Linked DNA regions of Saccharomyces cerevisiae S288C. The gene in region 1 interacts genetically with each later gene. Each region holds a gene or a part of one and is shown in the gene's direction. Other genes may lie near its edges.

Region 1 (3,756 bases):
CAACGATGCCAAGAATGCCAACGAGAAGAACAAGACTTACTGATAGGATGAGTTTCTTACTTTTTTTCTCCTTTTAATTGCGCTAATCTTTTATTTATGTGTAGTTTTTATTTATGTGAAATGGAACATTCGTTGATTTAACTTTAAAAGCAGCCTACTCTATCGTCTTGATTATACTTGGCACAACAAATGCTCAAATAAACGAAAAATTTCATATTGTTGGTACTTTTTCTCAACGCGGTTTTTTTCCTGTTTTTTTCGAGCAGTTCCCGAGGGCATATTTAACATAAGCCAAGGAGAGAGAAAAAACGTTTGTTGGACAGATCAAAAAGAAAAAGAAGAAGACCTCTCCTCTATCTCAAGCTTCTGCCCCCCCCCCCGGAAGGAATTCAAGCACGAAGGTGAACATTGCCTACAAGAAAAAATGGATGTTTTATTGTCGCTTCCTCAACCGGAATTATTTAAGACCACGGTGATTCCGTTCTTGGCAAATCGCAATATAATCAAGTCGGAAGCGATTCTCTCCAACTTGCACTCAATTTTTTATGTTGCTATATTCTACCATATTTGGTTTCTTTTTGGCAAATGGATCTTATTCCCACATTTGGTTAAATGGAAATTGGACTATGACCAAAAACATAACGTCAAGAAAGATGAGAAGACAACTTCGGAACGTCAAGCTCAACATTACAAAAAGAAGTACACTTCTTTGATCAATCAAAGTTCAGTCCACTTAATATCCCTACTGCAAAGCATAGTGGTCCTGTACTACTCATTGAAGTTCTTGCTTGATCCAAAAGCCTCGGCCGAGCCCTACCAAACCTCACACTCTCGAGTGTTTACAGAAAATCGAGACACTCAAGTCATCTGTATTTTTGCTATTGGTTATTTCGTCTGGGATATCTATATTTCCACCATGTATTCTACTTTCCCCTTCGTTGTGCACGGAATAATCTCCACCGTCGTGTTTTGCATCGGATTGAAACCGTACATCCAATATTACGCCCCAGTGTTCTTGATGTTCGAACTTTCCAATCCCTCCTTGAACTTTAGATGGTTCGGTATCAAATTTCTACCCCAGAAAAGCAAATTCTGCTCTCTACTGCTGCTGTTGAACAATTTGACGCTCATGGTCGTCTTCTTTGCCGCTAGAATCGCCTGGGGGTGGTTTCAAATTGGAAAACTATGTTACGACTTTTACCAGGTGCGCAATGAACCTGGTTTCTTAGTCTTTGACACCATTGTTATCCTTGCAGGCAATTTCGTCCTGGACATCTTGAATGTTATTTGGTTTTCTACCATGGTGTCTGTGGCTGCAAAGGTCTTGAAGAAGGGGGAGTCTGTAGACAAAGTCACTAAGAATGAACAATAATCCATGGAGGCACACTTTAACATGTGCATATATGTGTATATAGACTATAAACTTGTGTAAGCTATGCGAGCATTACAAACCTAGAAAATTACAGGCAATAAATCAATATTGATACATGGCGAATTTTTGTGGGGGGGGGGCAGGATCTTTGCCTACATTTTCTTCTTTAATTTTACCTAGACTGAGCGATTCTGCCACCTTCAGGACTACTGAACACTTTCAATGCTACTTTTGCCAGAATTATACTATACTACCACACTTTCATGTGATGAAACGTGAAACTCTAATCACGAGATTTAGGGGGAGGTGTTTCATATGCGGATAACGCCGTTCTCGCGCAAGCTGATTTTCCATTGCTTAATAAAAAGGCGAAAAGCCTCCTACATAGAGGATGATGTTGGTTTGACCGTGATTGATGTCCAAGTAGCTGTGGCTTATTGGGTATTCTTTCGGAAGCTTTTGTGATTTTTTTGTTAAGGTTTGAGAGTGGTTAATTGAGCCAAATACGGCGCGGTACAGGTAAAGAGAGAAGAATCATAAAGAAAGCTGTTTTCTTTATCCTAGTCTACTTTTTATGGCTTTGTGTGCTAAAAGAAGAAAAACAAGAGATAATTAAGTGGATTAATAGATGTCTGACTATTTCACGTTTCCTAAGCAGGAGAATGGCGGTATCTCGAAGCAGCCTGCGACACCAGGTTCAACTCGGAGCTCTTCTAGAAATTTGGAGTTACCGAAGAACTATCGTTCATTTGGTGGTAGTAGCGATGAACTGGCATCTATGTATTCCGCCGACTCCCAGTACTTGATGGATATGATTCCTGATTCATTGACGCTGAAAAATGAGCCAGCATCTGGAAATACGCAAATGAACGGGCCAGATGGCAAAGAGAATAAGGACATAAAACTTGACGAGTATATATTACCCAAGACAGACCCAAGGTCACCCTACTATATTAACATGCCTATACCTAAAAAATTGCCGAAGAGTGAAGGTAAGGCGAGGGCTAAACAAAAGGTTAACAGGGCTGATCCTTCTGATTTAGATGTGGAGAACATTTACGAAACTTCCGGGGAGTTTGTTAGAGAGTATCCGACAGATATTTTGATTGATAGGTTTCACAAATGGAAGAAAATCTTGAAAAGTTTGATCGCTTACTTCAGAGAAGCTGCCTACTCTCAGGAACAAATTGCAAGGATCAACTACCAGATGAAAAATGCCGTAAAATTTGCTTTTCTTACTGATTTGGAAGATGAAACAAACAAACTGGTTGATCCAAGTATATCTAAGTTGCCTACTAAGAAACCTCAGCCTGTCCCATTGGCCGCTCAAAAATTGGACAGCAAGTACGACACAGATGTGGAACAGCCGCAGTCAATCCAATCAGTACCTTCGGAAGAGGTAGCTTCAGCTTCTTCTGGCTTCATGAAATTTGGGTCAGGATCCATTCAAGATATTCAAGTGATTTTGAAGAAGTACCATTTATCTTTGGGTAGTCAACAATATAAGATCTCTAAGGAAATCTTGGCATATATTATACCCAAATTGACCGACTTGCGTAAGGATTTGACCACAAAGATGAAAGAAATTAAAGAATTAAATGGAGATTTCAAGACTAACATAGGCGAGCATATCAAAATAACAAGCAGGCTTCTGAATAAATATATTGCTTCAGTGAAGTTATTAGATGAAGCATCCACTTCGGGCGATAAGCAAGGTGAAAAATTAAAACCAAAACACGATCCATACCTTTTGAAATTACAACTAGATTTGCAGCTGAAAAGACAATTACTCGAAGAAAACTATCTTCGAGAAGCTTTTCTGAATTTACAATCAGCAGCACTACAACTGGAGAAAATAGTATATTCTAAAATTCAATCCGCATTACAGCGCTACTCAGCGTTAATTGATTCAGAAGCACGATTAATGATCAAAAATTTGTGCCATGAATTGCAGCAAGGTATTCTATCTAGACCACCGGCTGTAGAGTGGGATAATTTTGTCTCTCATCATCCTACCTGTCTGATGAATTTAAAATCGACAGACCCGCCACCGCAACCCAGAAGATTATCTGATATTGTTTATCCTAACATGAAATCGCCGCTGGCCAAATGCATTAGAGTAGGATATCTACTGAAGAAAACAGAGTCTTCTAAAAGTTTTACTAAAGGTTATTTTGTGTTGACTACAAATTATCTTCACGAATTCAAAAGCAGCGATTTCTTTCTAGACAGCAAGTCTCCCCGTTCAAAAAATAAACCTGTTGTTGAACAATCAGACATTAGCCGTGTGAATAAGGATGGGACTAACGCTGGCAGTCACCCATCGAGCAAAGGGACACAGGATCCGAAACTGACGAAGAGAAGAAAGGGTTTGAGTTCTTCGA
Region 2 (3,756 bases), on another chromosome or scaffold:
ACCAAATGCCAGCAATTCGTTAAATATTTGAAAGTAATTCGAAACGCTTTTATGATCCAGATATTCAAAAATAAAGGAGGTGCGGTCTAATAGTAAATTTTTGTTAAAACCTGTTAAAGAATAGAATTCGTTACTGACAAAACAAATCTCGCCTGATCTTCTCCAGATGCACATCGGTGTGCAGCTTACTAATTTTGCCATGTTCTCCAAATCTAATAAAGCCCTTTGCAAGGTAACTTCCTGTAATAGCAAATCCTCTTCAATCATATTGGATGTTAACGAAATGAAAATTGGAGCATATCTTTCTAGTATAGAGCGTATTATAACTTCTAAATCATATCTCAAATTATGCTTTTGGGTACTGTGTTCGTCTTTTACTGAGGCAGATTTATCAATTTCAGCTCCTTCAAGAAATTTTTTTCTTAAAGTAGTTAGCAGTTTGGTGTATGCGAGCTTGTAATTATGCGGTTTTATTAAACATTTATTGTCATATAGGTCTTGAGGAGTCTTTACTAATTCACGAAACTTTGAAGGTGATATGAAATCGGTATCATGTTTCTCCAGATCTGCATCGGAGTGACTAGAACTGTCACATTCGCTTTCCAGTTTGGCGTTATGTGATGGGTGTGTATTAGCGTTTGCTCCACGATTCAAATGCAGCATGTCTAAAGATATAAAGGGCCTAGACACTACTTCATCATATGTATTGAAAGTAGAAGTGGAATGGCCGATCGAGGAGTCCTTTTGGTCATTCACGCTTTTTGTCGAGTTTAAAAGGTTCGTTAAATGCAATGACGAATTTCCCCGTGTAGATGCGCTAGGATTGGGATATTCTGATTCTTGGAGGGAAAATATCTGGGAGTTATTCGGTAAAAACGGCGTTGAAATATCTACTATATCCTTTAATTTCATGTATTCGTCATTGCACCACATACTATCAAAGTGAATATTAGTTTCGTCATCGACATCATCGTCACTCTTATTACTATCGTCCATTCCAGAGTGCACAGGAACGTTTGAAGTAGCAACCAAACAATTGGTAGCCAGCGGCTGCTGCATTGCTTTATGTTGCTCTAGGAAATGCGACTTTAAATTGAGAGTACTCTTCCGTACGGTGGGTATGATGGGGTCATTCATTAAATGTACTGCTTGTGAAGCTGATATATTATTAGAAGTATTTTCTAAGACGGTCTGGCGGTTATTCGTATTGAAGTTCGTAATACGTGGAATAGATCCAGCGCTTTGAAAGTTATCATTTATATTATACGTATATTGGATATTCGTATTGTGGGCAGGTGTTTTGCCTGGTTTTTCCTGATCTGAAGATAGAAAATCTCGCTGCAGATGTACGCTTGAGGGGGATACCGTCTTCGACGGCACATCATGTATTACCAGCCTCTTCCCCAAATTCAAGTATGGTTGTGTTCCATGCTTCTCAATTCGTTTTCTTGATTTCCTTTTCTTATCTCTGCAAAACTTCCCAATATTTCTTTTTAAACAGTTTTGACATGGCCTCCCTACGTCACACTGTATATGTTTGGTATGACAGAATTCACAAGCTGTCTGGATAGACTTTCTCGTCTGTTTCAACTCTGAAGGTAGTTTTTTGGTCATATGTATATATATTCTTGTATGCTGTATCCAAATATATTATTTCTTTACTCCCTTTATTGCTAAGCTGTAATACGTTAAATCATTCGAAATATGATCTATTCATGCAAAAACTTGATGTGTGTAACAAAGAAAATATCCGGTTCAGAGATCCGAACAAATGATAGTCGTACCCTTCCCCTTAGTGTTAACTCGTTTAAGCAGGCTATGATGATTAGTAAATCGTTTCAGCCTCTTCTCATTTCGACAATTTTTGAGGCCTTCCCTTAGTGAGAGGGGAGATAACCAATCAGCACAGAGAACGACGACGGCGCGGAGGCTGGGCGGTTAAAAGAAGATAATGTGAAATAGATCAACAAGCTTTCTGGTGGCAAAACGGCAGTCAGAGATATACAAAAGGGGCAAGATAAGTGAGGGAGGCTATGTGGAAATGGAATGTGCGCAGATGGGCGGGCGCAAGAGTAAACATTAGCAAGAACCGATTAAGTGTAATTAACGTTGGAAGTAGATACTTATCGACCGCAAGAAGTCCACTGTCTAAGGTTAGAAATATAGGAATTATAGCCCATATCGATGCAGGTAAAACTACCACAACAGAGAGGATGCTTTATTATGCAGGAATCTCAAAGCATATTGGAGACGTCGACACTGGCGATACGATAACTGATTTTTTAGAGCAGGAGAGATCCCGAGGTATCACAATTCAAAGCGCTGCGATTTCATTCCCATGGCGAAATACTTTTGCAATAAATCTTATTGATACGCCGGGACATATAGATTTTACTTTTGAAGTGATTAGGGCTTTGAAAGTTATTGATTCATGCGTGGTCATTTTGGACGCTGTTGCCGGCGTAGAGGCACAGACAGAGAAGGTTTGGAAGCAAAGTAAATCGAAGCCCAAAATCTGCTTTATCAACAAAATGGATCGTATGGGGGCGAGTTTCAACCATACAGTCAATGACTTGATAAATAAATTTATGAGAGGAACAACTACCAAACCGGTGTTGGTAAACATTCCTTACTATCGAAAACAACCGACTAGCAATGATTATGTTTTCCAAGGTGTTATTGACGTCGTAAATGGGAAGCGATTAACCTGGAATCCAGAAAATCCTGATGAAATTATCGTGGATGAGTTGGATGGTACTTCTCTTGAGCAGTGTAATCGTTGTAGGGAATCGATGATAGAGACTTTGACTGAATACGACGAAGATTTAGTCCAGCACTTCTTAGAGGAGGCAGAAGGCGATTACTCCAAGGTTTCCGCACAGTTTTTGAACGCTTCAATAAGAAAACTGACTATGAAGAATATGATTGTACCTGTCTTATGCGGTGCGTCTTTTAAAAATATTGGCGTGCAGCCTCTATTAGATGCTATAGTTAATTATCTCCCTTCGCCCATTGAAGCCGAACTACCAGAACTAAATGATAAAACCGTTCCAATGAAATATGACCCCAAAGTTGGATGTTTAGTAAACAACAACAAAAATCTTTGCATTGCTCTTGCATTCAAAGTGATTACGGATCCAATCAGGGGTAAACAAATATTCATTAGAATTTATTCAGGTACACTAAACAGTGGCAATACCGTTTATAATTCTACTACTGGGGAAAAATTTAAATTGGGTAAATTACTGATACCCCATGCGGGAACATCACAACCTGTAAATATTTTAACTGCGGGCCAAATCGGATTGCTTACTGGCTCTACAGTCGAAAACAACATATCTACTGGAGATACACTAATAACGCATTCGTCGAAGAAGGATGGGTTGAAATCACTTGATAAAAAAAAGGAGTTGACGTTAAAAATCAATTCTATCTTCATTCCCCCACCAGTTTTTGGTGTTTCCATCGAACCAAGGACTTTAAGTAATAAAAAATCGATGGAAGAAGCTTTAAACACTTTAATTACTGAAGATCCCAGTCTTTCAATTTCTCAAAATGATGAGACTGGCCAAACGGTTTTAAACGGTATGGGTGAATTACACCTTGAAATTGCCAAGGATCGATTGGTTAATGACCTAAAAGCAGATGTTGAATTTGGTCAGTTGATGGTGTCCTACAAAGAAACAATTAATTCAGAAACAAATATAGAAACGTATGAGAGTGATGATGGATATAGATTCTCCTTATCTCTGCTAC

Evidence for each region.
Region 2: mutations in RGC1 (region 1) and MEF2 together harm fitness more than expected from each alone (negative genetic interaction), as found in Saccharomyces cerevisiae (one large-scale study listed by BioGRID).

What each region holds. Positions count from the first base shown.
Region 1 is NC_001148.4:752,877-756,632, forward strand, and holds the start of RGC1 (Rgc1p), read left to right. Parts: upstream 1-2,000; coding exon 2,001-3,756. Other genes in the region: PIS1 (CDP-diacylglycerol--inositol 3-phosphatidyltransferase), read left to right, coding at 1-43; ALE2 (Ale2p), read left to right, coding at 425-1,372. UniProt on the Saccharomyces cerevisiae protein: Positive regulator of FPS1 glycerol channel required for the glycerol efflux.
Region 2 is NC_001142.9:229,268-233,023, forward strand, and holds the start of MEF2 (mitochondrial elongation factor MEF2), read left to right. Parts: upstream 1-2,033; coding exon 2,034-3,756. Other genes in the region: GSM1 (Gsm1p), read right to left, coding at 1-1,614. UniProt on the Saccharomyces cerevisiae protein: Mitochondrial GTPase that mediates the disassembly of ribosomes from messenger RNA at the termination of mitochondrial protein biosynthesis. Not involved in the GTP-dependent ribosomal translocation step during translation elongation.